Lytechinus pictus: one gene and its partner. The protein of the gene in region 2 purifies or fractionates together with the protein of the main gene of each other region. This does not show direct contact. Links are inferred from orthologs where the notes say so. Each region holds a gene or a part of one and is shown on either strand. Other genes may lie near its edges.

Region 1 (16,957 bases), about 2.0 Mb from region 2:
TAGCTATACCTGTTTTTGTACAAAAAAATATCCCTGCTTCCACATAGATGCCAAGATATGACACCCCCCCCCCCCCCATTTCGATTTTCATTCCCCGGTTTCATTCACGCCAGTGGGGTTTTATTGGTTTATGATCAAAGTTATTAGCAGATTAAAAAGTTATTGGAACCCCCGGGATAAAATCATATGCAATTCAAAATTATAACCATACTCTCATGATGCAGCGGATATAATCTTTGCCATAGGCCTAAATCTCTAGGGAGGCTTGCATGGCAAAATTACTTTTAAGATTGAGAGCTGGAGCGGATCGAGGAAGTCTGCGTTCTTAGAATGCAAAATTTAACAAATTAAACCGAGTTTGACTGCACTTTATAAAAGAAATATTGTTTCTTTCTAGATAAAAGTGTGTGGGGGATGATTACGATGCCGTTGAAGGCCTATACTGGTTATGTTATTCTCCCTCTCCGGGGGGGGGGGGGCTGACAGCTGTAATGAGCCAAAAGTTTTGGGCTCGGTGTAAAAATGGCAGAGGTATATAAATGGCCAGTCTTAAACCCCCATGCCAAAAACCCCAAAGCCCCTCCATGTATACAGTAGATAAAATAAGAAAGGTTCTGAGAATAAAATTAGAGTTATAATGTTTGACTAATGGAAAGGGCAACATTTTTAAGTCATACTGTAGATTTTCTGCACCAAAATTGATAACACCTGAGTTGGTTTTTCTTAATTTATTCCTGGACTTACATGCACAACCTTCTCATGTCAAATCGCTCTTCTAATATTCAAATTTGAAGCACACTTTGGATCCCAAGTATTCTACTTAGTTCATTAAAGGGGAAAATTCACCCTGACATAAAATTCATTGTAAAAATAGCAAAAAATAATTAAAATGATATTGGTTAGGGTTTAAAGGAATTCATCAAAGATTTAAAAAGCTATTAGAATTTATATTTCAATGGTGATGTCATTTGCGAGCAGTTTTTTTTCCATATATGGTGTAATGAAAAGTATAAATGAAATGTCATTTTAAAAAATGAAAATGGTTTCTATTGTTTTTCAATTTTTTTTTATTTCAATTTATTTCATTTTCAACAGAACAAAGTAAAGTGGTCGAAATAATTTCAATGAACTTATATACAGACAATATAAATTGAGGCATGTACAATTTATTATATTTTTACATAAGTAAAACAAAACAAAGTATTTTAAATTAGCAAAATATCATTATAAAATAAAATTCTGAGAAAATGGAGGGATCCACTTAAAAGCAGTGCTTGTATTGTGTGGACCCCTCTAAATAATTATTGTAGTATACATACAAATCATTTCACATCCGCTCCTGAAAGACTGTTTAGCAGTCATGAACCACTGATTAAAAATTTGAAAAGTATACGGTATGGTGCACAAAATACAGGACAGCTGCTCGTATTATACGTATATGACGTCACAGATCAAAAACTCAAACTTCTAATAACTTTCTGAATGTTTGATGAGTTTTCCGTAAACCTTCACCAATAATTTTTTCTGCTATTTTTACAGTAAATCATTTGTCAGGGTGAATTTCCCTTTTAAAATAGGTCGATAGAATGGTACCTAAGAAAAGCCTATAAATTTGAAATAAAATCCTTGATTCGCTACACATTTCCAAATTCATGCGGTAACTGTTACCATAGAAACTAGTTTAGGAACCTGACATTCACTGGACTAGCTGCAATGAGGTATTGCTCTGAAAAATTGAACACTAATTGCTATTATTATATCATTTACATTAAACTTAACTCCTTAAAAAAAGTTTGGAAATATGACTTTGATCAATAATCCCTCCTCGGTTTTTGTAAATATCAATGTGTAAGAAATATTAATAAATAGATCATTAAATTCTCTTTAAAATGATACCCTACATGATATGATTATGGTTCACATGGAGGTGCAGTGCCTTGAAAAGTGGGGCAAGGTCAAAATTCAAAAGTTGCAAACTGACACAATATTGAAAGTCACTGTTCCTTTTTTCCTAGGTGATGAGTGAGTTTTCTCACCGGTTTCTTTTAATTGTTTACATGCACCTTATCACACCTCTGCATGAGCAAACACATAACAAACAAACAAACAAACATGCATGGGTATTTCAAACCACGACTCAAACCATGTTATCTCACAGAACCATCACTACATAAACCACAACAAAACATAAAAAATGAAGAAGCAGGGGCTTGATTTGAATGGATTTTCATCTCTATTGACACAGACAAAAGAATCATGTTCTGTATTGACCATTCATGACTATTTCTGCTCGTTTTGCAGCTTTTCAATTCAGACCTTATCCAACACTTTTGAATCCTGCTCTTTTCATGATGGCATGATCATAACAAGCATGGTATCATTTTAAAGAAAATTAAATGATCTTTTAAATGATATCAAATATGCAATGTGTAAAATTGGGAGTTGGGAGAAATTAATGGCCAAACTAAGATTTCCAAACTATTTTTTGCTCGTTTTGCAGCTTTCCAATTCAGACCTAATCCCCCTCATCCAACACTTTTGAATCCTGCTCTTTCCGTGATGGTATGATCATAACTAGCATGGTATCATTCTAAAGAGAATTAAATTATCTTTTGAATGATGTCAAATATGCATTGTGTAAAATTGGGAGTTGGGAGAAATTAATGGCCAAACTCAGATTTCCAAACTTTTTTTGAGGGGTTTATATACGTATCATATCAATATCTATTCGGATCCATTATGATGTTAAAATATAACAAATAACTTTTATTACAGATCGTTTTGTTATTTTTCTGTTATCCAAGTATTGCAAGTGGTTCGAAGAAATCCCGAACTTGTCTATTTCAGTGTGTTAATGGTAGCCAAGGGCGCCGGAAGCGGGGGGGGGGCACTTGCCCCCCCCCCTAAATAAAATTTTGATGGGGCAAAACGAGATTTTGCCCCCACCCCAATGTGCCCCCCTAAAAGTAGAAAAATGATAAATTATTTAAGGACAAAAGTAAATGATGAAGGCACTTTTCTGCCTAAAAATTGTCATTTCTATTGTCAAAAATGAAAAAATTTCGCCCCTGACGGGGCAATTACATATCATAAGTATAAGCCTTGCGTCTTTTGACGAACATGTCCCTCTGTGAAACATACCTTTGATAAGCCCCTTTTCCATCTTATCACAGTGTGATAACGTTTAAAGTGATTGGTTAACATTGGTTTGACTTTAAAAAATCTGAGCTAGAAGGTCACACTTGTCACCTGTGTCTGTGATATGTTACAAAAATGAAGCCCAGAAAAAATTGCGTTTGAAAATAATTAATTAGTGCTTCAAAAATTGAAATATAAAGTGACCGAAAACACCATCTTAATTTCATCCCATACACTTATGTGTACTATTTAGGCGTCTATAAGACGCCTATTTACAAAATCGGGGTTTGCCTTGTAATTTTAGCTTTTCATTCTCAATAATGGTTGTTTTCAGGGTTTATTAGTTCTAATACATGCACTTGTACACATGTTTCATCTTGGTTTGAGAATTTTTTAAATCGGCTGCTCACAAAGTTAAACAATACCTTTAACCTTTTAATGAATACATTTCAGACTAAAACCGAATGGCAAATTGAAAGTGGTTCACCAATGCGTGCTGGCTGTACGCGCGGTCGCCCACCCGGAAACGCTCAGACCGGACCCACTAACGCGCGTGAACGCTAGTTATACCCCCGTCACACTTATTCGGAATCAGCAGGAATCGGGCAGAACCAGCCGGAATGAAGAACTTTCAAAATTCGTGCCACATTCGGGAGGGAATTTGAAATTTTCGCTACTTTTGCAAAAATGTCGTTAAAATACTTAGAACGTCCTTTGATCCCGCCTCTAATGATTCTTGCACATTCGGGTGTATTGACTGTCGAATGCAGCTCGAATACAGTCGGAACACAGGAAGAATATTAAGAATGCTGTTAGAATGCAGCAAGAATATTTAGAATGCAGTCAGAGAGCAGTCAGAATGCACTTTGAATGTCGTTCGATATTTCTCCACTTCGGATGCACTTCGAAAGTTTTGAACATGAGCAAAACATTCGGGACGGTCACAAGAATGGACCCGAATGTCTGGAATGCACTCAGAATGCAGTCAGAATTTTTAGAATGCGCTTCGAATATCCAGGAATGTACCAAGAATTTTCATTCCGACGGCATTCCGGCTCATTCCGCCTCTAGTGTGACGGGGGTTTTACTCGAGCAACATATGGAATCTATGTCATAGGCCCTAGGCCTATAGCTGTCAAGCCCAGAAACCATAACATCTCAAGGTCGTCATACTCTAGTCTAGTCTCAATCTTCCAATTTCTCGCCTATCAATTTGTGTAGTTCTGAAAATGACTGTAAAACGGTATCAGGGGAGTGTTTCATCATGTCCATGGTTTCATCAATATTTTCACCGACAAGTTGTCAGATCTGACATCTTTCCATGATTTTGATTGGCTGGGAGGCACTGTTCCTATGGTAACTGTCGGATAAAACGTCCGACAAGTCCTTTCATGAAACGCCCCCCAGGACAACTACCCCCCGGACAATTACCCCCGGACAACTACCCCCGGACAATTACCCCCGGACAACTACCCCCCCGGACAATTACCCCCTAGACAAAGGGCAAATTTTTAAGTGCTCTGTTTAATGTCCGTTTTATGGTGTGAATATAACTTGCAGCTTGCGCTATGCGCTCGCATTATTTGATTTGCCAAATTATATAACAAACTACTTAAAACCCCCCTTTTATGACAGTTTACCAAAAATTTCGTCTCACGATTTGCGCTCGCATTTTTGTTAAAAATATATCAAGTCACAAATCCTATTCAAGATTACAAAAGTGCTTAAAATATCCAGTTTTCAGGCCTCAGTGTCAACACATTTTACTCACTCATTTAGGCTTATTACATTAATAAATATGATAATAACATTTTCATGAATTCTTAATGACTACATTGTCCCTTTTCAGAAAAGAATATCGACAATATCACAGTTTCATATGTTTCATATCGCGCTCAGGAAGAGGAATAAGAAAGTTGTCATCATTTTCATATGATGACGAAATGTCCTTAGACCTAGAATGTCCAGGTCCTAGGTCAAAATAATAATGAAGATATCAGCTCGCGCTTCACACTCGCATCATTTATTAAGTGCTTTCCACATCCACTTCACAATTTCCCTACACAATGCTTTAGATAGTACTCAAATTCACCATTTTCATACCGGAACATCAAGTATTTTCCGCTCGCGCTTCGCGCTCGCATTGCTTTTTCGATGAGATTAATATCTTGCTCAATATAGGCTGAAATGGAGCTTAAAATATCAAGTTTCGAAGTCAATACACATAACATATTTCATCTCGGATATCGAGCTTTCATTATTTTTAAATTTACAAATTGATTTTTCAAGTGCTCTGTAAAATGTCCGTTTTATGGTCTAAATATTAATATTTTCAGCTCACGCTGCTCGGTCGCATTATTTTATTTGCATAGGCCTACTTCTTTATAAATTCTTACAAACCGTCCTTAAAATGCACCTTAAACGAATTATATACTATCATGATTGCCAATTTGTATAGAAAAAACACTGTATTTGATTATGTCATATTGTTTACAATTTAGTAAATTTGGTACTTAATTTCCTTCTTTAATGTTTAATTGCTTTCACCCAAGAATAATACACACAAAAACATTTTGTAATTTACCAGGTGTTCTTGTGTGTATTATCTTTGCATAAAGTTTTTTAGCTTACTGTATTAAGTTATAAAGCCACATCTTAATCTGGAATGTGCACCAATTGTTTCATAATTCTTAACTTCTTGTTAGTTGAACTGTTTTAAAATAACAGATTTATAGGTCTACTTGACAGTGTTAGTGTTGATAGTTGTGTTATCGACTTTCAATATTTCTACCTATGAAGGTGTCTTTTTTACGTTTTATCTATTTGCCTGATTTCTTTCCTGAAATTAAACCCAAAATAAATATTTAAAAAAAATCAGATCAGTTGGAATCAGAGATATTCAGCATTTGTGATTATTATAACTAATCGTGTTCAATTGTTATATGAAAACTTAGAATGAGGGCCAGTTTACAAATTTTCTGATGTATATATGCATAGCCAAACGGGAGGTTTCGGGTGCGAGCCCCCCCCCCCCCCATTTTTCATGATGCAGAAGGCGCCGCTAAACAAAAACAAAAAAGGAAAAAAGAAGAAAGTGAGAGAACAGGAGAAAGAGCAATATAAAAGAGAAAGAAAAAGTTATTAACGTAAGGTAAAGTAGAAAATATTTCGGAAACCTGTGCCACCGACCAAAACTTACAATGGGTCCTGCTTAATTCTAAAATTGATGCTGGAGAGAAGGGGGGATTTTCTGAAGGTAATTGTCCGGGGGGTAGTTGTCCGGGGGGTAATTGTCCAGGGGGTAGTTGTCCGGGGGTAATTGTCCCGGGGGTAATTGTCCGGGGGTAGTTGTCCGGGGGGTAGTTGTCCGGGGGGTAGTTGTCCGGGGGTAGTTGTCCGGGGGGTAGTTGTCCGGGGGGGGGTAGTTGTCTGGGGGGTAGTTGTCCGGGGGGGGGGGGTAGTTGTCCGGGGAGGTAGTTGTCCGGGGGTACGTAGTTGTCCGGGGGTACGTAGTTGTCCGGGGGGTAGTTGTCCGGGGGTAATTGTCCGGGGGGTAATTGTCCTCGGGGGGTAGTTGTCCTCGGGGGGGGGGTAATTGTCCGGGGGGTAATTGTCCTCAGGGGGGAATTGTCCGGGGGGTAGTTTTCCGGGGGGTGATTGTCCAGGGGGTAGTTGTCCTAGAACCCTGTAAAACAGAAAAGGATAAAGAGTTAAAGAGGCTTGAGTTGTTGGATTATTGGATAAAATAATGTCGTCCGTGTATGTAAATGTACATAAATAAATGTTTCTGAAAGGATATTGCATGAAAAATGTAATTTCTGGTATTTTGAGTCAATATAAGCGTAATACGTAATTTAATTGATCAGACATGAAAACCACATTCCGAAGCGATCGTTTTGCGCGAAAGTTCTCATAAATTAATATTTAGTGAAATCTATGTTTAATTCTCAAGAAATTTATTTTTGAATGCTCTAATTATAGAAACGCAACTTTTATACTCCATTTTTACACAAAGTCGACCGTTGGGGGGGGTCCCACACCCTCTCCCGCTCGATCGCTTCGGTATCTCACGCTGTCAAAAATATTGTGCCCCCTTCCGAAGGGGGCACAATATTTTTGCCCCCCTAAAAGTGAAAGTGTTCCGGCACGCCTGATGCGTGGTAGCGCACATTTGGTGTTTACATTAAAATTCGTTTGGTAATATGTGATGAAGTGCTGTTCTACTCTACGAAATGGCCAAGATAAATCCTTTCATTACTCACTAATTGAAATCATTTTGGCATGACAATTGTTGAATTTAATCATATCAACGATAAAGCTGACCTAAAATGAATAAAAAATCTAAATAATATCTTATCAGTTCATAATGCTCATTCCGTCGATATATAGGAGTCCATTCAAGGCCAATGCATTATGACTGATATTAACTGGAAAGGCTCTGTCTTTTCCTTGTTGATGTAGCATATGTCATGATCTTTACCTCAGTCATTTTACCTCTGCCATTTTTACCTCTGCCATTATTACCTCTGCCATTTTACCTCTGCCATTTTTACCTCTGACAATATACCTCTGCCCCCCCCCCCGGGGGGGGGGGTACTCGACCAAAAAATTGGTAGGTGTGTGCCGCCGGCGAGACAAAAACCGGGGGCCTTGGAGCGGACTTATTGTAAAAAGGAGGGTCCTCGGAACGGGCTTTTGAACTACAAATGCTTGTGAAAACGGGGGTCCTTAATGGAACGGGTCATTTTTACCTATGCCATTTTTACCTCTGCCATTTATGCCTGGCACCAAGTTTTGAGGGGGCCATGCAGATATGGCGTATCGGGCAAAATGTATAAAAAGTTGCAAGTGAGCTAGCACAAATTTCGATATTTCAGTATTACAAATTATTATGATCGACTTTGACATTGGCCCTAAGTCAGAAAATATTTCACCCTTCCCTCTTTTTTTTTCTTGCATGGTCGTGTTTTTTTTTAACCCTAACCCTTCCCCTCCCCCTTAATCTCAACTGTACGCTAGCGTACTACTACATGATACATCTATTTTGAAAAGAAAACAAATATAGATGAACAAAGCAAGTTGAAACGAGTCGTTTCCAAGACTTGGCCGGATCATCCGGGCATTTTTTAGACCACGCGCATGCGCTCTGAAAAAAGTTCGATACTTAGCCATTTTTCTGCGATCCTCATCCGCCATAACGTGGAAATTGGTTAGACAAAGAATCACCAAAATGAGTTCGGTAAGTTCGCACATTTTACTCTATTTTGTGGTGTTAGTGTCATAGCGTGAATTGGAATATTAGTGTATGTGGATTGAGATGGTTTTTATGTGGAATCAGTGTGTTAATACGGCTGCCGCCTCTACATCACACATGTGTTAGTTTTTGTTCGAGGTCGAAAGGAACGCTTCGCCATTGAAATGCACACAGTTGTGCTTCGTACTTAGTTATTTTTGCGTTCGCCCTATATCATTGCACACAGGGCGATAAGCTCTCCGTACCGTACTTAGTAATTTTTTTGGCTTGCTCCATATGCTTTGTACATGAATGGCATGCGTGTGTATGGTGTGGTGTGTGCACGAAGTCGGCGGCTTGATCAACGTGACCGCTCTAATCTGTATGCCCGGTGTTTGGCCCATACGTCATTTGAGATGTTCCGCTTTTCACATGCTTTCTATGAACTGTACCAGTACCGGTACTGCACTGTGGAGTGGTGTGTGACGTAAATTTAAAGTGACATTCATGTCCAACTTGAAGATTTTAATTTGATGAATTCTAATGAATGTGAATAATATTTTTGAGTGCTGGTTGTGGTCTTCAAATATGAATGGTGAACCCATTACTGGCATTAGCATTACCATGTTGTTAAGTAAAAAACTTACCTTTTTTTAAAAGAAAGTCCTCAAATGAAATGGTGAAATTGAAAGAATTTAAAGATTTTATTTTATTTGTAACAGTTAAACAGTTCAAATTAAGTCTTCTTTTTACACTATTAAAGTTAGAATTTGGAGTCTTGGACTGGTAATGAATTAAGAATTGTTGACGTCTGATTGAAATCAATCACTGACCATTTTTTTTATGGAACAGATGTTGAGTTTGATTGTAAGTTTCTCAAATACATAGATCTATTCTACTACATGTACTACTACTAGATCTAGATCTGTCTTGTCAATTTCAAAATTTTTTTTTTTAATTTAAATATTATTTGCCTTTGCTTGATGGCTGATGTATTTTTTTTTTCCAATTATGGTTTTGTGACCTTAATTCGCGTGTTACAAATATACCTAATTTTGCGCACAGTCAAATATCTCAATATCTAATATCTTGAAAAACTGATATCAACAGCAACGGAAAGAGAGACCCAAAATCAGGGTTGGCAATTTTTTTTAATTAAAAAAAAAAATCAGATTTGTATGATTTAAATCAGATTTTTTTTTATTTAGGCCTACATAAAATAAGTCTAAATCAGATTTTTTTTTTTAACAATTTTTTTAAAAACAAAGTGCAAAAAATAAAAATACATTTCTAAAATCGTACATTTCACTACTAAAATTATTCTGAACTATTTAAAATTAAATCTAGTCAAAATAGATAAGAATATGTAAGTCGTAATGAAGATGCTGTTTTCAGCATCATCTCGTGTAGAGTATTTAGCTCCTACTGACTGGTAGTTGAGGAACCGTCTTCGTACAGCTATACTGCAAAGTTAGTGTTCCTATTCAAAACTCTTAACATGAAATGAGGATTAGTTTCTTTGGAAGAAACATTGCTACATTGCAAGATTAACTTCCATTTCATTTACTACTACTTGATTTCAAGTACGTAGATATGAAGGATTTATTCATGTTTTAATGATATAAAAAATCTGTCTATTTTGAGTAAAAAAAATCAAACTGGCACAAATAAAAAAAGTCATATCATTTGTACATGTTTCAATGGAAATCATGATTTAAAAATAAATAATTTCAACTTCTATCTGATACAAAATCTTACCTTTGTTCAGTTGATTTCTTTCTAAAGCTTTGCAAAACGATCATGCGCAAATTAAGGTCACACTTTTTTATGATAGTTTTTCAGCCGAGCGCATTAGTCGATCGCCATGGAATTTTCAGATCGCGATACCAGCAAAACCCTTGACCTACGGTACTTTATAATTCTGTCAAGTGAATTTGATCTTGCCTTCCATTTGGTATTTATTATTTTGATTAATTTTGTGTGAACTGAGAAATTTTTGATTGAAAATCAACTTTTTTAAATGTGCACAAATTATGGTTACCCTATCATATGTTTTATAATTTGGGGTTTTATTTTTAATTTATCTTTGACAAAACTGATAGAATTATAATTCATAAATTTGAATTATAACCTTAAATTTATAACCATTTGTTAGTCAGCAATCAACATGACTCACAATTAATTTCCAGAAAACCTTCACCTGAATTTTGTGGGGCCTGCATTCTTTTTATTTTTTTTTATTTTTTGCTAATTCCATGTATATTTGATATTTTTATTGTTTCCTTTGTTTTTATTTTCTTGTTACAGAAAGTGGACAAAATAAAGTCTGGTAAGTAAAAAAAGTATCATTTGTCCTTTGTTGATCATGAGAAAGTAACTTATAAATTATGAAATAAGACAATTTTATATACTGAATTTAAAATGATACCAATTTCATGACAATATATTTTGTTCATATGAGAACAAAACATGTGCATGTTTTTGCACATATATTATCTATGTTTAGCGTGTGCATGCTGTAAATTTTTATGGAGGCTAATTCCGTTATTATTTGTTGTAGAAGGTTGATCAAAGTATCAAATTGCTCAGAATTATCTTTTGATGCTTTGATCTGAAAAAAGTGGCAATTCTATGTTGTATAGTGCCGTTACGCACGCGCGCAATTTTTTGAAATGCTTAAAATGACATGATTCATACTCTACTTTGGTCAAAAAAGTGATTTTGAGCATTTTAAAATTTTGACGTGCGTGCATAACCTTTAAATGACCTTTGATGAAATGGACAGTTGACCCTTGACCTGAAGTTAATGTCATGAGAATATGGTTAATTTTTTATAATTGATAATGAAGATATGATTGATAATGTGATTTTACAAAATGGCATCATGATGACCTTTTGACCTTGAACTTGTTTTATAAACCTCACATGATAAGTCCCCATTACTGATGAAAATTTGAAGAAAATTGATGATGCAGATTTTGAGATTTTGTGCTATCAAGAAAAGGGCGGAAAAATAATATGTCGATCGACAGATCACCTAATTAGATTCTGAAGCTGACTTTGACAATGTAGTTAAAGAAGCAGACTGAATCATTCAAATCAGAAACTGCTTTCTTTGACCCATTCAACATTGAATTCATATTTTGTCGATTTTTTTTCCATTTAGACAACCATTCTAGCAGCAGCCCAGCCAAGAAACCATTATCAAATAGTCATAACACTTCCAGCTCGAAGCATAAAGACCCTAATGCCAAGCCCAGTTCCAAGTCGAAAGAAGGGGCCGTCAAGGTCATATTGCTCAGTGATGGCACCAAGATTAAAACAATGCCAGACGGGAGCAAGATCAAGGTTATGCCTGATGGCCGCAAGTTTAAGATGAAGCCTCCGACCTCATCCTCAGCCCCAAAGCAGAATAATAGTTCACATTCCAGCCGGCCGAATTCTGGATCCCCACCACCCAAACCGACATCAAATTCATCCAGACCAGATAAACCACCGCAGAAGCCATCGCACAATGATAGCATTAGCAAGTCAAAAGAAGACGGAAGGCCTAAAGAGGCACCCAAGCCGAGTAGCTCCAGTATGCGCCCAAAAGAGAAATTGGCCTCATCCAAAGACATCAACTCAAAGCATAAAGAGTTTTCTTCTTCAAAGCACAATTCCAAACATTCTTCTTCATCCAAGCCAAAGGTCGAGATCAAGAGGGAGAAGCCTGAGATAAAAGAAGAAGTTGCCAGTCCACCTAGAATTAAAGAAGAAATTAAGAGTCCTGAGAAACACATCAAGAAGGAAACAAGGTAGACTTGACCTTTTCATTTCCAGTTTATTTTTAATTTTGAATCATGAATTAGTTTTATAAAGAATCAAATTCTTGAATAAATGATATGTTGACATGGGACTTTGGACTTTTGTTGGGTATAAAGGATGAAGAGGTTTGGATTCAAGCAAGTTTTGTAGCCCTGAAGCCTATGGATTTTTGCTAGGTTTAAGGCATTATAGTTTAGGTATTTCAAGAAGTTAGAATTACTTCCTTGTGAGCGTTGGATACTATCCATATTTTTAAGCATCATGATATGCAACTCCAGCTAATTGAATACTTCTGAAATTGTATCAGTTTTGCCATTTATGAATGAACTGCAAAATTTTATCTCTTAAATCCTCATTCCATCAGCCCTGTGAAGTCTGTGAAAAAAGAATCTTTGAGTGAAGAAGATGGGGATGAAGATGAAGATGTACCTTTGGTAAGTTTAGAATATCTTTGGATTTGACTTTGCTATCTGTCTCAAAAAGTTGTTCAAAAATGTTTATCAGATAGTATTAAACAGATTACTCAACTGCTGCTTTTACTTTATAAAAAAGGCCCTTTTTTAAAACTCATGAACAATCTTACAATACAAGGAATGATTGGGCTTATGGCAGGTTTACCAGTGTGCACATCAATTTTTTAATTTCTTAATTTCTCTGCATTTAATTTAAATAAATTTGATCTTAGGATGGACTTTTCCATTCCACTAATTTACATGGATGTACTTTTCATCCGTTCATAATTTATTCATACCAATCTGCAAATATATTTACAGCATAGAATGATATGTGTAGTTATTATGAACTTATGATGACAATCAATTGATGGAGTTCATGTGAAGTTGAAGTGAAGCAAAGTAGCAGTAGCATTCCTACATGGACAGCCCAGATCAAAGTTCAAGTTGACTCTGACAAAGGATACATGTAATGCAGGCCGATGTACTTCTCTCCTGATATTTTTGTGGGATGTTACCTTTGATGTTAAAAATAAACCATTTTTGTAGCACCTGTACAAATTTAATTGATGTCTTATTGCAGTCCTTCACGTTTATAATTTCGTGGAGCTCTATAAATCGCTCTCCTTATTTTTCTGAGGAGCTCAATTGAGCTCCTCAGAATCGCTCTCCGTGAGGAGCTCAAATCAATTCATTACAATACATGTATGATAAATTGTAGATTTTTCTTAACATTGTATATATGCAGTAGCTGTGTTAGCTATTAATTAATCTGTGGTGAAACTAGGCCTGGGTCACGTCAATACGTTTACAAGATGTCGTATGCGCTACTGCTAAAAAAAAAATTTTTTTTTAAAATTGAAGAAAAAAAAAAAAAAAAAAAATTGCTAAAATTTTTCATTTTACATCTTTAAATCCATGAAATGGCCTTCTTTTTTCCATAATACCTTGAAATTACTTTGATTTAGTTGAAAACTATCAGAAAAATGAAGAATATTCACCTCTTTCCCGACTCTGATTTGAACTTACCTCGGTAAATATTGTAGTCCCACATGTAGACTTTCATGGTGCTGCCATGAAAATCTACATATGGGACTGCAAATATTTACCGAGTTTAAATTAAAATCAGAGTCGGGAAAGAGATGAATATTCTTAATTTTTCTGATAGTTTTCAACTAAATCAAAGTAATTTCAAGGAATTATGGAAAAAAGAAGACCATTTCATAGATTTAAAGATGTGAAATGTGAAATTTTAGCAATTTTTTTTTTCATTTTTCATTTTTTTTTTTTTTTTTAGGAGCGCGATTTTTTGCTCTCCTTATTTTTTTTAAGGAGCGCGGTAGGAGCGCCGGCGCGATCGCGCTCCTCAAAAATGAAGGTCTGTTATTGACTAGTCTTATGTCAACAAGTTCAGTCCCTTTTTTAGTGATTTTTTGCATAGTAGGCAAGAATTTTTTTTTTTTAAAGCTGGAAATTTTGAGGACTTATTTTCTTTATTTGTTTATTTGAAATATATTTGAGTTTTATTAATGAAACTTTACAAAATATATAAAAGTGTAGTTAAACCGATTAACTGAACCAAGGTTTTATATTGCTAGGACATTTCACTCTTGATTACAAATACATTTAGCCTTTACCTTTTCCATTTTACAGAACCAACGATTTGATGATAGCATCAAATCAGAACGCTCAGAGTCTAGGAGAGCAAGTAAGAGACCACATTATGCTGAAGACGATGAGGATGAAGATGAGGAGGATGATGATGTCCCCCTGTCGGAAAGGTAAGCTGGTCCTTGATTACCAAGTAGATTGCAGATAGATTGTTGTTCAGATCAGTCATCAAATCAACATCAAATCTTAACTTAAGGTTAAGTTTTTTAAATGACAGCATAACTTAGAAAGTATATAGACCTAGTTCATGAAACTTGGATATAAGGTTAATCAAGTATTACTGAACATTCTGCCTGAGTTTCAGGTCACATGACCAAGGTCAAAGGTCATTTAGGGTCAATGAACTTTGACCAAGTTGGGGGTACATGTATTTGTTGAATTACCATCATAACTTTGAAAGTTTATGGATCTGATTCATATAACTTGGACATAAGAGTAATCAAGTATCACTGAACATCCTGTGTGAGTTTCAGGTCACATGACCAAGGTCAAAGGTCATTTAAGGTCAATGAACTTTGACCATGTTGTGAGTATCTGTTGAATTACCATCATAATTCTGAAAGCGTATTGTTCTAGTTTATAAAACATTGTGATAAGAGTAATCAAGTATCACTGAACATCCTATGCGAGTTTCAGGTCACATGACCAATTCAAAGGTCATTTAAGGTCAATGATCTTTGGCCATGTGGGGGTATTTGTTGAATAACCATCATAACTCTGAAAGTGTATGGATCTAGTTCATAAAACTTGGACAGAAGAGTAATCAAAAGTAATCAAGTATCACTGAACATCTCGTGCGAGTTTCAGGTCACATGACCATAGTCAAAGGTCATTTAAGGTCAATGAACTTTGGCCATGTTGGAGGTAAATATTAAATTGCTGTCATAACTTTCAAAGTTTATGGATATAGTTTATGAAATGTGGACATAGGGGTAATCAAGTATCTCTGACAATTCTTAGGTCACATGATCAATGTCAAATATTATTTAGGGTCATTGAACATACATGTAGTATTGTATCATTATATGAATGGTGTTTTTTGTGAATAATTATTTCATAGTAGTTTTCAAAGTCCGCAGTGCTGCTATATTGAATCGCGTAATGCAGGTGAGACTGCCAGAGGCGCTCCACTTATTTATTGTTTAAAATATTCTAATTTTCTAAGGAGTGTCATATGGAACAAAATTTTATTCCTTCCTGAACATGTGGAATATCCATTTTTTAAATCATTTTGTAGTGAAATCAAGCAGGTCTTTATTGTCAAATCTGTAAAAAATGAAATATTGTATAATTCAAACAATAAAAACAAAAGAAAAAGTGAGTGATGTCATCAACTCTGTCATTCGTAAATATAACTGAGTTGTTCATATAATTATTTTGTGAAAAATAAATGAAAATTTAAGGTGTCAGAACTTTTTTATTTTACATCCGCTTTTGATGAAAATTTCTTGGTTTTGCTTGTTTGATTTTATTCTTATGATTAAATTTTTTTTTTTTTCTGTTGTGGACTTGACCTTAAGGTATTTCTATATATAAATATAAAAGTATAATTATTCATATATAAAACGTTTTTGTCTCACATGCATAGCAGAGCGAGACTATTGGCGCCACTTTTCAGACAGCGGCAGCAGCATAATTTGTCAAAATGATTTTTATGTTAATCTGCAGGAAAGGGTCTGCAAAGAAGGTAAAGCATGAAGAGCCTGTCAAGAAAAGTTCCAGCAAGAAAAGGAAGTACGAAGAGAGTGAGGAGGAGTATAGTGCAGGGGAAGAGGATGAAGATGATTACAAACCTTTGGTATGTAGAAATTTCATAACATTTTTTTCTTGAATGTCTTACTCTCACTCTTTTGGACTATCCTTGGGCCTGATTCATGAAGAGTCATAGCTATGGTAATGTTGCCACTATTGGAAGTCCCATGGTAACACAGCTCATCAACCAATCACAATCAAGGCAGTAAGTTGTTGGTCTTTGTGAAAAGGGCCGGAGATAAAAATTCTCTTTCAACGAGGCACATAATTTTCCTAATTTTTTTTTTTAATTAAATTTTTGGAAAAAGAATTTTCAGAATGATTACACAGGCCAAATATTCTTTAGAGGTGGAATAGTTTTCATAAGCACTAAATGTTGTACACAGAGTATATGTGACAATTTTGAATAAATAATTGTGAAATTGCGGAATCTCTTCCCCCCCCCCCCCTGGGCCCTTGAGGGTTAAAAGGATAAGCTTCAGTTGCCCTAGTGCTGAATCATAGATACTTACCTACATGAAATATGGAAATGAATTTCTCCTTGAAGAAAAGTTATGAATTAAATTTCATTTTTATCCTACAAGATTGTATTAATATACTATGTATACAATAATGCCACATTTCTTTTATATTCATATTTTTATAATTAATTAATTTCTGACAGGCCAAGCAAAAGAAACAAGAAAAATCCAAATCCAAGACGAAAATGAAAGACACCAAGTCAGCCAAAAAGGATAAAAAAAGTAAAAAGGGAAAGGGAGTTAAAGAAGAAGTGAAGGAGAAGAAAGGAGGAAGGAAAAAGAAAGAGGAAGAGCAACAAGAGGTTTGGGAATGGTAAGTGAAATGATGTGCATGATATTACAGGTTGAACATTATGGTTTGGAATTGGTGTATTGAGGGGCAC
Region 2 (17,166 bases):
ACTTTTAACATTTCTATAAAAGTCATAAATAACATCAATTTTGTATTCTGTATACATGTACTAGCAACACCTATTTCGACATAATTCGAAGTTAAAGAGAGACTGACAAGAGGAAAGTTTATGTTTAAGAGCACAGATTGTGCCTATTACACTCTTTGATGCTGAAGCAGTTGACATGAAAAAGGGCATGACATTAAATCATAAATGAAGTAAGTTTATTGTAAAGTAATTGATTGTAATTAAAAGTTGACAGTAATTTAAGTCATTTACATGTATATTTTTTTCAATTACAATTACTTTCCCTTTCAAAATTTCAAGTACAATTATAATTACTCAAAAACTTGTAATTAATTACATTATTGATCAATTACCTTGTAATTGAGCCCAACCCTGGTCTATACTATTGAAATTTGAAAGTGGGTCATAAGAGAAATCTGCTAATCGCAATTTCAATTGCTGCCAATGAAATGCATTGGGTTTTTTAGCTTTAACTTGTCAGCAAAAATGCAAACAAACAAAAAATTCAAAAAAAACTGGCATGACTGGGATTGGAAATTGTCTCTAAAAGTTTTATTGAAAATAGGTTTAACTCAGACCTGCCAACCTCTGGGAATGAAAAATTGTATTCTGTGATAAAAAAAAACTGCATTTTCCCCAAAAAAACTGTACTTAAAAGAGAAAAAAAATGCGCCGAACGCGCAAAGGGGGGATTGTCCTCCCTTCCCACGGTAGGGACTTTTTTTAAAGCTAAAAAGGGGCCATTTCCTCCACACATGCCAATAAAAAAATAATAATAAAATCATACAATAAAAATATTATGTTCAAAATTGACCTTAAAATAACCTTTGACCTTAATCAGATGGCCTGAAACTCATATAAATGCAAAATTATCACTGATAATTGATTACTCTAATGTCCCAGTTTCATGAACCAGATCCATATAGAGTCTAACTTTTTTACTTTCAAAGTTAAGACATTTCAAAATCTTAATAAAATATTCTGAAGAGTAAACCAAGTACTGCCTTAAAAAAGATTGTGCTCCACATCATCAGATCGCTCCATCCTTTCGTTTTCACACTGTTTACTCTCATTTGGGTTGAAAAAAATTAGGAAACATTGAACAAAATATTAGCGTACGCTAGGCCCGTTTCGGGTACACGTGTACACGCACGGTCAAGTCAGTGCACGTGTACTAAATTCCATCACCGTGTACACGGTAGCATCTGCATAAAGCTTGCATGGGACTGTAAAGTCAGTGAACAAGCTCACAGCTAAGTTACTCACAGCCTCACATTAATTCTTAGTTCTCAGACACTGGACACGTTTTAATCACTGATATGTCAATATATTTCAATTAACCTAGAGCGCCGATTTAATCCACATTCATTCTGGAGACTCAAGTTTTTGTACCACGAAATGGGTCTGCTCTGGTCTCGAAAGCTCGAAAGCGTTGCTCAATCACACTCAGAGCCAATTTGAGAATCACCAATTACAACAGCGATCACTGCTACAGTTACGTGTTATACACTCGTACACATAAAATAATGAAAATCAATCGATAACTTCAGTTACACTTAATTCTGCAGCGATCTGTGCATGCATGTACTTATGTACGGTACAGTATACAAAATGCGCATCCAACGAACGTCGGCGCTAGCTAGGGCCCTGCACTGATTTTCTTTTGCATTCTTTATTAATTTAATGCGCTGCTAAGCTGAGTAAACTCTTTAATTGCACCAATTTTTGTGGATTGATACTTCTATAACTTCCCAGGTAAGCTTCAAAACCGTGACTTAGGCTATATAGACCCCTTTTTAAGTTACATTGACATGTTGATGCGGGTCCGTGACGACATGTCGGAAACACTGAAAACAACTCGCTCTCATTGTTTACAACGTGTACACGACCGAAAAACACGCCGTGTACACGTGCATAAAAAATGGACTTTCAAAACGGGCCTAGCGTACGCGTAGCTAGCCTAACGCTAGACTCCATTATGCACAACACGGCCGCGGAACCAGTGCAGCGCGATCATCAGGGCAGGCAGTGGCCGGCCAGGCACTAGCAGGCACATCCCCAAGTGCCTAATCCACTGGGCCGGGAGTTTGCATTTTGACAAACTTACTTATCACTGCTGCTCATTCTCCATCTTTTTGGATGGTTCAGAGGAATCGCCACTGTTACTCTCCGTTTTCTTTGGTATGAATCCATTATCGGAGATGAAAATATTGAGAGTTCAAGCAAACACCGCCATGAAATGCACCACACACATGAGCCGCAAACAACACAAAGTGTTAAGCCAGGCCAGCACTCACGCTTCGCCCTTTCAACCACCAAAGTCTTATCTACTCGAATGGATATTGTGCGTACCTCAATCACCATTATCCGCCATCTTGCTACCCCACAATGCATAGCCATGTACATAATGTTGGAAAAACAATTACAGCAGCCACATGTTTTTATGACACAAAATGGCAGCAGACCGTTTGTTTGCGGCGTCAGGGACTGAGTGGGCGATTAGCGTGTGAGTTTGTGGAAGTTCCGATCTATGCCAGTGCCAATGAGCTTTATAGTATGGAACGCCAAAAATCGCAAATACCCTTTTTTTTTAAACGTAAAATATATATATCTTTTAACTTGAAAAATCGTATTAAAATACAGAAAAATCGTATGCCCGTAAATAATCAAAAAATTGTACTCAATACGGGAAAATCGTACTGGTTGGGTTGGCAGGCCTGTTAACTGTTAGTCATTAGATCTAGATCTAATACGTTTGCATTATTATTATCAATTCACTGGCTGTGCAGCGTGCCTGTAGGTCTAACGTTACAGTATTACCATTAAAGGAGAATGAAACCCTTGAAACCAGCTGGATCCATATCAAAGTGAAAAATCAAAGAAACATATTGTTGAAAGTTTGAGGAAGATTGAATGAATAATAAGAAAGTTATGAGCATTTGAATATTGAGATCACTAATGCCATGTAGATCCTTTCATTGGCAATGAGACCAAGATCTGTGATGTCACACACGTACAACTCCCTCATTACTTTAGTTCTTATTTTACTTATATTCTCACTTTTATAGAGTCTTTCACAAGGTGAGGTGTCCTCTTTATGAGAGGACAAGTACAGAGGTTTCACAACATTATATCATTGAAGAATCGTTTGTCATATGATTAGAATGAGCAAAAAGAGATGTTTTGGGGTACATTTTCAGTGTCCAAAAGGGGAGAGTTGTTCATCTGTGACATCATAGATCTTGGTCGCATTGCCAATGGGAGGATCTCCATAGCATTAGTGATCTCGACATTCGAATGCTCATAACTCTTCTATTGCTAGTCCTATTTTACTCAAACTTTTGTTGATCTTATTCTTTGATTATTCTGCTTTCACAAAAGCTAACTTGCTCCAAGAGTTTCATTCTCCTTTAACTTTATATTCTTTAGAGTAGATTTAAGTTAGATCTACTGGGGCCTGTTTCATGAAATGGTGTTTTGTAGTACCGCTCTACGTAAGAACGAGATATCGCTCAACTGTTTCACAAAGCCGATTTTGGGCAATATAAAGAATGGTCCTTGGAAAGACACCTCTAGACATGTCCTATGTAGGCATGATCTTCTTAATCTTTGCACACCACCCGCCATCATCGGCATTGTGAGAAAATACGTTTGAGGCAAGCAACCTATCATCTTTAAACATTTTGGGGGGGGGTCATTCGAGATTTTGAGTGCACTCTGATTCATTTTATCTGGGATGGCGCCATGTGGGCTGTCATCAATTTCAGGTTGTCTTGCATGGCAAGACAACCCAAAACGGATGTCATTTTAACTTTTCCGGGGTAATCTACATGTAGGCCCAAATAATTTTGTTTGGTATGTTTTCTTTTATTTTCTCCCTCTTTTCCCCCACCCCTTTTCCAGTTTTTTTTTCAACCAAACATGAAATATTGAAATGGGAGGCAATCTCTCTGACCCCTCATGCTTTATCATTAGATAAACAACATGAAAACAAATTTTTTTATAAATAAATTATGTATAGTAAAGAAAACATGATTACAACGTTCAGCAAAAAAAAAACACATAACAAAACTAAGATGTTACTAAACATGCTAAATCATTTATTTATTTCTTAATTCATTTTCATTATCATTATTTTTTATATTTTGCTGATATTAATTTTAATCAATGAAAATTGTTGGAATTGTTGGAACTCGAAACAAAAAAAAAACTGCGGTAAAAAAAATAGCTAATTGAATTTAGATTAGGCCTATAGCTTACGAATCCATCACAATCATTACAAATGAAGATAAGTTCATTGTATCTATAAAAGAAAAGGTTATGGAAAGTCCATACGAAAAGGTGCATTTTAATCGTAGGGTAGGCCCTATGTCACGTTAAGGCAATAAAGTACGTCTCAACTCCTTAACTTTGAAATGTTGAACATATATTTTTTTAAATATTCTTGAAGCATTATGTTCTTATATAAACTTCCTTAAAGCTATCAACCTTAACCAATGTCATTTTAACATTGATTCTGTAAATAGTATTTTTTCCATGGAGGATTGATTTCACACATTTTTCTATGTTTTATAATTGCAAAGCACTACTTTACCCACTTGACATGTTTGCAGCAATTTCATATTTTGCTTGTCTTCGGTTACTTTTCATGCACAGGTATGTTTATACTCTAAACACACAGGATTGGGTAAAACACTGTGTTACTGTTAGAAACAGGTGAATCACACTGACACTGCTCACAATCACAAACATGTGATGTGGCAAAGCTCATGCCTAAGCCAAGGCCCCGGCCGCCAATGTTAATTTTTACAGAGTAGTTTTTCTAGATAGCACAGCCACAGCCCAGGCTCCAAGTCCATGACTTGATGAACCGTCAAATGACAGCCAAGACATGCAAGAGTCCCAGGACCAGGCATGACTTTTCACTCAAGTTTGACTTTGAGAACACGTCTCAACAGGGTGACCAGATTTCACAAAATGAAATACGGAACAATCGACAAAGCACGCTGCACAAGCGAATCGACAAGAGCCAGGTCATAATAATAATTTTTAAAAATCAACAAATAAGGCTACACAGTGTTAGACTTGCAAAAAAAATACAAAGAAAAGGAAGGGAGGGTGAATGAAAGAATGAAGGAGAGAAAGAAAAGAGATTAACTGAGAGGAAAGAAAGAAAAAAATGAAAGAGAAAATGAAGTAAAGAAAATTAAGGAAACAAGAAAAAAATTAAAAGAAAGAAAGTTAGAATAAGAGAAGGATTAAAGAAAGAATAAAAGAAAGAAAAAAGGTTTCCGTCGTTCTTTGAAATGAATAAAGAAAGAAAGAAAAAGAAAGAAAGGGAATTAATGTGTGAAAAAAAATAAAGATCAAAGGAAAAATGAAAGTAAGACAAAGGAGGAAGAATTAAAGAATGAAGGAAAGAAAAATGTTTCCTTCATTCTTTGAAAGAAAGAAACAATGGAAGAAGAAATCAGGAGGGGAGGAAAGAAAGAATAAGGGAAAAGAATTGGAAGGGAAAAATAAAATAAAGAATGAAAGAAAGAAAGGATGAATTAAAGAGAGGGAGGAAAGATTGAAAAGATGAGAGAATGAAAAAAGATAGAAAATAATGGAAGGAGAGAAAGAACAAAAAGAAAAAGGGGAGGAAGGCATAGAAGGAAGCAAAGAAAAGTTTAAGGAAAGAAAGAATGAAGGAAATAAAAATAAGGAACTTTAAAAAAGAAGGAAACTAGGAAAGTAAGAGAAAGAAGGAAAGACAAATGAACAGAGAGAGAGAAAGGATCAGAAAAAGATAGGAAAGATTGGGAATAAAGATAGATGGAACAAAAAAGGCAAAAAGGAAGGATAGAAGGGTGAAGAAAGGATAGAAAAGAAAGAAAAATGAAGAAAAAAAAAGGGAAAAGTTCAAACTTCAAGCAAACAAAAAAATCCAATCATTTTAACAAAAATCTAATATTTTGGGTTTTTAAATGATATATTTTAAAAAAAAATTTAAAAACTAAAATGTTTTAGAAATGAATAGAATTCAAAATAAAACATTGTCAAACTTCACAGCATCACCTCAGGCATCTCTCATGATCTCATCCCATTACAAGTTCGCACCGATCACAAAAAGACTCAAAACGAAAACTGAAAAAACTAGATCTAGTTATGAAAACTCAATAATTTTCTCCTCCGATTACATCACGAAATCAGTAATCTGAGAATCCATAATATAATTATACAAATTTGCTGCCGATTTTGTGATTATTTTGGTGGAAAAACTGTTTATCATGTGAGATTTATTTGCACCATTGAGAATCTGCTCCGATCCAACATGCCTAGCTATAGTAGCCTGCCACACACAGGCAGGCCAGTTCGTTTGCAATGTATTACTATTGGGTCACCCAAGGGTTCATTACATGCTGCCGCGCACAGAAAAATCAAGCCATAGAAGTCGTGTGTTGTGGACCCAAGAAGTGAGATCCCAGCACACGCGACCCACTAGTTAGAAATCCACTGCCAAACGCGGTTCGTGGTGCGAGGTTAGTATACTTAATACTAACCTCGCAATACGTGTGAGTGCTATTGGGTAGCAAGAAAATCACTGTAGAACTTGCAAAAGTTAACAGTTATCGATTTTATCGTTATCTCTGCTTCATCATCTGTTTGGTTATTTGATGAATATTCTTCACTTTTCTATGTATAACATGATTAATTATACTTTGTTCAATATTCTGAAATACAGGACAAACAGGCATCCCGAGAAGGGTTTGGCGGGACGAAGGGAAACAGGGGGAAATACGGGACGATCCCGGGAAATACGAGACGATCCCGGGAAATACGGGACGTCTGGTCACCCTGGCCCTGCGTCTCAACACAGACACTGTCACAGACACAGACACAGCCTCTACTCTAGGACTAGGTCACAGTACACACACACTGCTCTGACGTCGTGACAACAGACAAGGGAATGACAGTCAGTGAATTGTAATTTATTATGTAATTCTTCAAATGTGACTGGTATGGAGATTTTGCTATGAGTTAATTGCCAGGTTATGATTGAAGTAAAGCCTCTATTCAATTTCAAGGAAACGTGATATGCCCAATTCACTTTGTGTACACAAAAAATAGCACACTAAGGCATGGTAATGGCCTTCTAATTTCAAGTTAAAAATTAAAATTAGAAAATGAATGTCCATGAACATACCTCCCATTCATCGTATATTTTCTTCATTCGCCGGTAGAATGCATCTTTATCGACCGCAATGTTCGCCATACTAGCACAACATCTGCTTAACAGAGTATGAAATGAAAATTTTCCTACAAATCCTCGCAAAAGAAAAATTCTTCCTGAAAGAATCCTTTGATCATGTAATGTGCGTGCATCCAAAAAGTGTAGCGCGCCAAAATTGCTAGCGCGCCACCTACAGCCAATATTGATGACAGTCTTGTCAGCTAGCGCTAGCTCAGCTAGCTCAGTGACGTGCTACTGGGGCCTGTTGCATGAAATGGTCTTTCGTAGAACCATTCTACGTAAGAACGAGATATCGCTCAACTGTTTCACAAAGCCGATTTGGGCGATACGAAGAATGGTCCTTGGAAAGACACCTCCAGACATGTCCTACGTAGGCATGATCTTCTTTGCACACCGCCCGCCACCGTCGGCATTGAGAGAAAATGCGTTTACGGCAAGCCACACTGACATATCACCTTTAAACATTTTTTTGGGTTGCACACTGATGCATTTTATCTGGGATGGCGCCAAGTTATTTTTTATATGGGGGCTAGTTGTCATTAATTGCAGGTCGTCTTTTTGCACGGCAAGACGACCAAAAACAGATGTCATTTTAACTTCTCCGGGCTTTATATGTCCGGGGGTAATGTAGGCCCCAATATTTTTTTCTTTTATGGTCCGTCCTATCCCCACACCATTTCCATTATTTTTTTTTTGAAATATCGAAATGGGCGGCACTATCTCTCTAACCCCTCATGCTTTCTCATTACAGATAATTAAACAACATGAAAACAAATTTCTTTAAAAGAAATTATGTAAGGTAAAAAACGTGTTTATAACGTTCAGCAAAAAAAAAAGATACAAAACTAAAATGTTTAACATGGTAAATCATTCATTTATTTTTATTTCATTTTCATTATGATTTTTTTTTTGCTGAGATTAATTTTAATCAATGAAAATAAATTGTCGGATTTGGGCTTAACTTGAGATGTACTGAAACAGTGAAACAAAACAAAAAATCTGCAGTAACAAAATACCTAATTGAATTTAAGATAGAGATTAGGCCTATAGCTTACGAATCCATCACAATAATTACAAATGAAGATAAGCTAGTTCATTAAAGAAAAGATTATGGAAATGAGTCCATACAAAGAGGCGCGTTTTCACTTTAGGGTAGGCCCTTTGAGTAGGCCCCTTTAGGCCCCTACTAAAATGTTAAAGCAATAATGTATTCTCTACTCCTCAACTTTGAAATGTTGAACATATATATTTTTTATATTCTTAAACCTTATTCTTATATAAGCTTCCATAAATTAAGTGATCAACTTTAAAGATTACCAACGTTTATGATCATTGTAATATTATCATTATTTCTGTAAATAGTATTTTTTCCATTGCGGATTGCACACCTTTTTCTATGTTTTAATTGTTATTGCAAAGCACTACTTTATCCACTTGGACATGTTTGCAGCAATTTTCATATTTTCCTTGTCTTCGGTTACTCATCATGCAACTGAGGTATGTTTATACTCTAAACACTCACATTTGTATTTCTTGCGTTATATCTGACAAATAAAATAAATAAATTAGATTTTTCACACGCAGCCTCTCATATTTTCCTTTTTAGTCTCATACAATCAGACACTGTTGATTTTGTTTACTCCATTCAAACCCTATTTTTACCTCAACAGATAACATATTAACGCATAATTTGCAAAATCATCATTATATATATGTTTTCTATAATAAATCAGTATATTGAACTAATAAAATGTCGAAATTACTTAGTTAAATCAATTTTTATGTCGGACAAGGGTCTCTTTCGTTGAAATATCAATGAAAGGTGTCTCTAAAAGGACACCGTGTTCTAAATAAGTGAAATAATGAAAATTTCGATTTTATCCAGTTATGTTTGTGAATCTTGAAAGTTTTTTCTCTTTTTACCTCATAAAGTACGCTCCATACATCAATTCTACAATCAGTAATAAATAAAACATTATTTGATCCCCTTTTATTGAAATATATGATTTTATGACAAGTCGTCATTCCGAAATAAAAGGTTCAGGTGACGATGAAGACTAAATATTTTTCCGATACTATCGATATCAAACGATGTCGCGGACTTGAAAGACAAAATTGCCTTCGTGAAACGGAAAGCGCTGATTTGTCGCCAATCTTCCTATCTCGGAAGAATGGTCCTAGGACGTTCCTACGTATCGCTCATCTCGTCATGCAACAGGCCCCTGCACTATGGCGAAGGATCATTCAACGTCAACTTTGACTCCGGCTCCGCCAACACGTGAACAATGACTGCCTTTGCAGGTAGATCGATATAATTTATTGGTTTTTTTTAGTTTGCATTGTCTGGATATATAATTTTGATATGTATTTGGGCTCTTACAGTTAGGGAACAATTGCTGATCATGATTAATAATCGGAGATAAGTACCGGTAGGGGTGAGCTGGGTGTCGCGTTGTCGCCGACGCGACGGCCGGCGCTCGAGTCTCGACGGCATCCAGACCCGGGCTGGCACCGCTAGCGCATGGCCCTGCCCGGGCAGTTTCGCGGAGATCCTCGGGCTCGGCAGTTTTTTTGTTTAGTGATGAAATATGGCAGGCTATGTTTTTTCTCTTGTTCTTGCTTAGGGATGAATGCCAGATTATTTAACACTGTCAGTTTCTACTAGTTCATTATTATAATTTGGCTCTAAACTAAGCTAAGCTAAGCAGTAACAAGTTAGACTGAGGCGTACGGCCAATATTGGGAGACCCGGGGGCGGGGGTAGCCAGGAGGCTTCTAGAGAGTAAAAATCATTTACTAACGTAAGGTTACTCTCATACGAAGCCAGGTCTTCCTTCCTATACTTTTGTGTGTACCACCAAAAAACCTGAAACTTTCGCCCCCGAGATTTCTACTTTCTTTCTAAAAGATCTAGCCCTAAATCATGTATGTACATGGGTAGACAGCTGGCAGCCGTCTGTTTTGAGGAGTTTTTTAACATTTTTTTTTTTAAGTTCTCCTCATACACAGACGGCTCGCTAGCGTGCAGCCACCATTAGGGGACTTGCAATGCAAAATCCCCCCATCGGGGCTCTTCAATTTTTGTCTTTAATCAATAAAAATTTTGAAAATTAATGCGACCAAAATGCAAATTGATATTCCCTCTTGGCATTAATTGCCAAGAAACGGAGAAAAATCGAGTTAAAAGGAACAAAAACAGTGACTTACCTCGGCTGTCGCGCAAATTCACTTCCCCGTTTTATCCGATCTTAAGTACATAAACATATGGCCATTGAGTCTCCTGTACAGATCGCGCTAGAACTTCGGTCTCTGTATTTGGTGAGTGCATGAAGCCAACGGAGTTCAGCTGAACAACCAACATAACAGAGACCGAAGCTTTTGGTCTAGTACATGGGATACAACTTCATTTCCGACATTTCTACGCCATGGATTTTATTTCGAGACAAGAATTCATTTAAAAAAATGAAGAAAATATCATGAATAGACGGAAGAGACTTGCCCGATGTTTACGCCGCCATCTTGTTTTCTATTGTTCTTCCCCAACGTTACGCGACGCAAGCGTCCGTATCTTAAAAGGGGCATTTATCAGCGGCCAACACACAAGATGGTGCAATCCATCTAAATGGTCACAGGCCAATGCATGATGTGTATTAGTGTCCGAAGTTCATTCATAGCCTTGAGCACATTAATCATGTCTGTCATGTCTGTGACACAGGTCCAGGTCAACTCAACACCTGAGAAAACTTGGCCATGTCAAATAACTGCCGAAGTCCATCGTAAAACCTAACCCTAATTATCCAAAATCTAACCCTGTGCAGATACACAAATAAATTGAAATCATGCCATAGAAAACATTGCAAGTGCGGAGTTAGCTGGCAGTGACACCCTGTGGCAATATGTTGTGAAAGCACAATTTTATTAGAGGGACATAAGAAAGTCTAGCCAAATGCAGTGTGATACCAGAGGCCTCAAGCGCCAGCTTATTTGATTGAGATGAAAGGGCTGCATTAATAAAACCAAAATAACAATGCATGAATATCAATGCACACTGACTCAGGTGGGACTCCTGAGATCGAGTGAGAGTTGACTTCACACATTTGATTTGAATGTTTTTAATTTCTTATAGTCATGAGAAGTCTTAAGATTACACTTATGCATTTGTTGAATCATCATATTCTTATAAGTAATACTGGAATTCTGGTAAGCCAAGAAAAGTACAATATTGCATCTAAATTCTAATTGATTTGTCTTATTACTGGAGGTATTTTTCAGGTCCAGCTTAATTCCATCCAAGTTCTTTCTTTCATCTACAAGGTTTAATACATATGTCAGTGTCCAGTGTACATAATGCATATTTACAATCATTCTTGTCCTGTCATTTCCCAAGGGTTAGAGTACCATTCTGTATTCCAGAACTTATCAAGCATGGCTTTGTCTTTTTTTTCTTCAGAATTTGGTTGTCTCCCTGAGATCACTCAGGCTGTGGATGAAATGGGATGGCTGTAAGTATATTAGGGGAAATTCATCAGGCTCTATAATTTGTAAAGTTTTTTTACTTTATTATTTTCTGAATGATAAAATATAAAGCCCTAAATGAAATGGTCTGACTCAGAGATATTGTGATAAACATGATTTTTTTTTAAATTCCAAACATATTGATACAAGAATGTTACCTTTTATGGCAAATTTTGTTGTTGTACGTTGAAAATGCTTGTTTATTCTTCTCATTTTTTATTTACCATACGTGCCAACTTTGGCAAATGAGATTAAAAATGTCAACTGAGAAAAATATTTAATTGTGACATGAATCACTTGTAAAGCTGTGAATTAACTTCACAAACAACTTTAAAATGGAAACCCTAACCCCCCCACCCCTGGACAAAAGAATGTTGATATTTTATTTTAAAAGGAGGGGCTGATCTTTGAAATGATACAAAAATGAAGAATTGTGCAAACGGTAAATAAACAAATGAAATAGAGAATCATATTTTCTGGACAAATTAACTTTCATTTTAATAAAACCCTATTTCATTTCAGGATGGATTTCCAGCTGAGTATTGTATTTTTTATTCTTTTTTTTTTCATCATAGGTTGCCTACTGATGTTCAGGCTGAAGCCATTCCTCTCATCCTCGGGGGTGGAGATGTTCTTATGGTATGAATGAAACCTTAGAGTAACATAGCCTTGGTGGGGTGGATCACATTGATAAATGCCTATGTGCCAAAAGTAATTTAAAAAATCAAAATATTTGCTTGGCAACTTAATTGGGAGTGGCAAAATCGTTGTCTCTGTATGCAGATTGGCAATTTTCTCATTTTGAAACATATTTTCAAATACTAAATAGGTTCATTATTGCGGACTGAAATAATCGCTAGAGGGTATTCATTTGTCTCGCAATCTACTATGGTCAACAAGGATATTCGTGATCACTCTCACAAAAAGTGTTCACTAGCTTTCTGGGAAATTCGTGAACTTGTAAGCTAGTGAACACTTTTTGCGAGAGTGATCACGAATTTCCTAGAAAGCTAGTGAACACTTTTTGTGAGAGTGATCACGAATTTCCTTGTTGACCATAGTAGATTGCGAGACAAATGAATACCCTCTAGCGATATTTTCAAATTTTTATGCACATATGTATTTGGGAAGGCTAAATAAACAATATAAAAGAAAGATAGTTATAACTGCAATGAAAGTAAAAAGAAAAAAAAATAATGCCAATTTGGATAATAAAAGCTGATCAAGTAAAGATTTGAATAATTCATGGTCCCAAACAGTTTAATGAAAAATTAAGAATACTTTTAATAAAAATGATAAAAGAATAAAAAGATGAATTCATTTTAAAAAGATTGATGTAGAGATATGGAAAGATCAAACAAATTTCAATTCTATTAGGAATAAAACAATGACACTCTGAATAAATGTTTATTTTTTTATGATTTGATTGCTTATTGGTGCTGTTTTCAGGGTAAGGTCTGATATAGGCTTTCAGGGGTGCCCAATAAACAAAAACAAGGAGTACCTTTACTTGCCACACCTGACTTGTTGCATTGAAGATTGAATTGTCTTATTTGATTTGATGTATAAACATTTTCACTTTTTCTCTTGTTTATTCGATAGGCTGCTGAAACTGGAAGTGGAAAAACTGGGGTAAGCTAATACTTGTAGACGGTCAATTTCATCATGATTTAATTGTATTTTTCATGCCGCTGTTTCCTGTATTGATCTCACATCTTACTTTAAGGACAGTGATTTGGTTTGAGGTATTCTGTAATCCAAGTCCCTTTGCAGCATGGTTGTGGTATGAATGTTAGAGATTTAAGTGGGTATTGCAATTTGTTATTTCTCTTGTTAGTACAAAGTTATGCAAAAATTTGCATTCTGGGTAAGTTACCAATTCAAGCGATGCTATTCTTCATGGCCATGGTATAAAGTATTCCACAGGAGTTATTATGACACCTAGATAGGTCCCTGTCACTTGATAAGTTGATATTGATCATTCAGCCCGTTTTACAATGACATCATCAATCCTGCAATTTTGGATCCATACGATTTGACCTTTGCATGCTCTCCGAGACCACCAGCACTCGCGTTTGCTGCATGTGTATGCGACAATTGAACAGCCCATGCTTGCACTGCATGCTCTTATGCATCCAAATTCATATATTTTAGATGACAAGGATCTATTTTTAGATGGCATATAAAACAAATAATGAATATTCTTTTCATTCGTGCAATGGACAGAGTACTTCATTCGGTGAAAGATGAAATGAGTGATCCATTCATCTCTGCTACTCATCTTTGAAAGGATTATTTGTATTTGTCTATTGAACTCATAAACATTCATTATTTGTTTACCATTGGATGGCAAAGTAACCAATATTTATAGAGTAGGCCCCAATATGAAAGATGCAAGGTCTACTTATTTGTGTTTTAATTCTCCTGCTACTAGGCGTTCTGTCTACCAGTCATCCAAATTGTCCATGAAACACTGAGAGACAAGGCTGAAGGAAAGACAAAGGAATCCACTGCTTCTGTTAGCATGGGTAAGCAAATCAGTGTCATAATCACTTGGTCCACAAACAGTTGGTTTCTTAGATAGTCTGATACCATAACTCTCTCAGAGTTCTTTTAGGGGGTTTCAGAGCCATTCCTCAGATACCACAAATATAAGTGATCATGGAAAATGCTGGAAGACTTTGCTAGTGTTTAGTCTTTCATTGGTCTTGCAAAGGTCTCCATCCTGTGGAATGGGATCCTTATATTTTACTTTCTCAATTGAAAATTTGAAAACTATTAGGCCCAACCCAAGTGGGTATTAACCAACATGGGTATAGCCCAACTTGAAATTAGACAAAATGGTAAATAGGCATGGTAACAGGGGTCTGAGAGTTAATCTTTTTTAGTAGATTTCAGATTTTTTTTCTTCAATTTAACTTATTTTTAGGTTTTTGTGTACTTAATCTGTACAAAGGTTGTAGGAGCTTTTGCAATTTCAGCTAATTTCATTTGCCGTCACTCACTTCCCTTGGTAAGAAGACAAACTGGTTATTGATGAATTTGCCTTGTAGTACTGTAGACCAAACAGAACATATATGAAGTGGGTGTAAAATAATCAGCAATTTACCAGAAAATCATCCTCCGCTTGTCTGATAAATTTTCTTTTTACAGGACGTTGTGATTTCAAGATGTGGTGAATTGTTCTGTCTGTGTAATTACTCAATCTAGTATCCATGGACGATGATACCTATGGTTAAGAACTACGAAAAAAAAATTATTTGGAATGTGTTATTGTTTTATTTGCATTACCCTTAAAACAAGCACAAAATATATTGATGTTTAATTTACAAATATATTTTCTTTTGATTGTTATTAGAATCCAGCTCTTGGAAGATGAATGTTTATGACAGAGGAGATGCAATGGGTAAGAAAATTGAATTTTAATTTCTATCATCAATGCTTTATTGTCAAAGGTATTGTAAGCAGCATTATATACAAAACTATTTTACAAACACAACCGGCCCTTGTAACACCTGCTGCCTTTTTTTAATGATTCAAATTTGAACCCCAAAATAAAGTGCTGACTAACTTCAATATTATTTGTTTATTAATTATTAATAAAACTGGTGAATGGCCTTGTCAAAGCGACTATTGCGTTTCCAATGTACTTGTTATCATGCATGCACATGGCTATATGCAAGAAGACCTGAACACAATGCACACACACACAAACACAGCAACCATGTCTACTCTGCGAGTGCTCATGATGGTAAGTACTATCATTACCCTTACTTGCTGTCATCCAATCGCACAGTCATTTCAAGGAATGGATATTCCTGCCAGGTACCCATTTACTACACCTTGGTTAACTGCATATCACAAAGGGGTGGATGCATTTCTTCCATGACTGGGATTCGAATCTGTGACTCTCTGATTGAAAACCAAGGGTTGAAACTACTAAAATTACACATTCTTACATATTTTTCATTAAATTTATTTCATTATTTCATTTACAGCTATTGATAAAGAAGGTTTGCTGTGTCAAAGTCGAGAGATGCAATCATGGCATGGTACCAGGGCTAATAAGGGTGTCAGTGGTAAAGGTAAGAAATGTAAAAGCTTGAATTCATATAGAATGTTTCTTACAGGGAAGTTGGTCTTATTACAGAGCAGAAAAATTAGAGAAAATATCAATGAATATTTGATGAAAATCTGTCAAAAAATAATGAGAGTTATGAACTTTCTGACATCACAGACAAGCAGCTTCTCATCTCATATAAATTCCCCAAAATGCCATTTTCTAAAAAAATGAAAGTGATTTCATTTGCTGGGTGGAGATTTCATTTGCTGGGTGGAAATATCATCAGAGACATTACTTCATACCACTTTCTATAAGCAAAATTTTAATTCATCATGCTCCATTTAAAAAAACATGGAATTTATATTACATGATTTATTTGGAAGCTGCTTGCATATGAAGTCAGAAATTAAAGATTTTAAAAATTCAAAAACTCTTAGTGTGTGATTAATTTTTCCAAGCCTTCACCAATATTTTCTTCCTTTCATTAAAACCAATATTTCGTCAGGGTTTACTTCCCTTTTAAACCATGGGCGAGGTCTAAACTTTTGTAAACATGGGCTACCTGATCAAAAGCTTACAATGCACATTCTTGGATCCACTTTAAATGGGCCTTTTTTTGCACCAATTTTTTTATGGAGGTGGGGGTCAATATTACCTCTTTAGACTTTGGGTTTGAAAGGCGTAATTAACACAACTGATCATTTGATCACTTTCATTTTGTGCATACTCTGTTAATTTGATATCTAAACAATGAGATAATCTTCAGCTCATTACTTTGTTCATTTTCACTAATTTGACTACCATATTCCAATTTTGTAGAATATACAGAAGTATATAAGATAGAATTCTTTTAGAAGATGGTATATTTTTTTTCCTGAACAAAATTTGTGTGTGTGTTTGTAGGAAAGTACTATTATGAGGCTGAAGTGACAGATGAAGGACTTTGCAGAGTTGGATGGGCTACTGACAAAGCTGACTTGAATCTTGGTAAATAAATCATTGAATGTGTACATTTGTAATGTGCTGGTATCCATCATAAGAAGATGCTCATGGGGCACTTAAGAAAAGGAAAGAAAAAGAAACACATCAAAGAGAGGGAAGAATTTTATTTTTACTTGAAAGCTTGTCTAAATAACCAGGGGCGGTATTCTGAACATTGTCTTTTCTCCATATTTTATCTTATCTCAGAGATATGACAAAATCGGTATTCTGGTGGATGTCATAACTTTTGTCACAAAAATTGTCATAAATTTTGTCTCTTCTCTTTAGCGCGCACCAAAAACACACGGCTTTAATGCGCACGTAATCCGTTTATACAAGCAAAAGATATGAC

Evidence for each region.
Region 1: the proteins of FACT complex subunit SPT16-like (region 2) and DNA topoisomerase I, mitochondrial-like fractionate together in Homo sapiens (co-fractionation; 3 studies listed by BioGRID and IntAct, with this or other methods). This does not show direct contact. The link is inferred for Lytechinus pictus from reciprocal best matches to the Homo sapiens genes SUPT16H and TOP1.

The regions. Positions count from the first base shown.
Region 1 is NC_087246.1:63,386,128-63,403,084, forward strand, and holds the start of DNA topoisomerase I, mitochondrial-like, read left to right. Parts: upstream 1-8,251; 5' UTR 8,252-8,368; coding exon 8,369-8,377; intron 8,378-10,678; coding exon 10,679-10,700; intron 10,701-11,537; coding exon 11,538-12,168; intron 12,169-12,542; coding exon 12,543-12,612; intron 12,613-14,283; coding exon 14,284-14,411; intron 14,412-15,969; coding exon 15,970-16,099; intron 16,100-16,717; coding exon 16,718-16,887; intron 16,888-16,957. UniProt on the Homo sapiens protein: Releases the supercoiling and torsional tension of DNA introduced during the DNA replication and transcription by transiently cleaving and rejoining one strand of the DNA duplex.
Region 2 is NC_087246.1:61,409,084-61,426,249, forward strand, and holds the start of FACT complex subunit SPT16-like, read right to left. Parts: upstream 7,780-17,166; 5' UTR 7,277-7,779; coding exon 7,208-7,276; intron 1-7,207. Other genes in the region: ATP-dependent RNA helicase DDX1-like, read left to right, coding at 9,541-9,556, 11,706-11,757, 12,346-12,409, 13,373-13,402, 14,205-14,298, 15,129-15,176, 15,769-15,855, 16,737-16,820. UniProt on the Homo sapiens protein: Component of the FACT complex, a general chromatin factor that acts to reorganize nucleosomes. The FACT complex is involved in multiple processes that require DNA as a template such as mRNA elongation, DNA replication and DNA repair.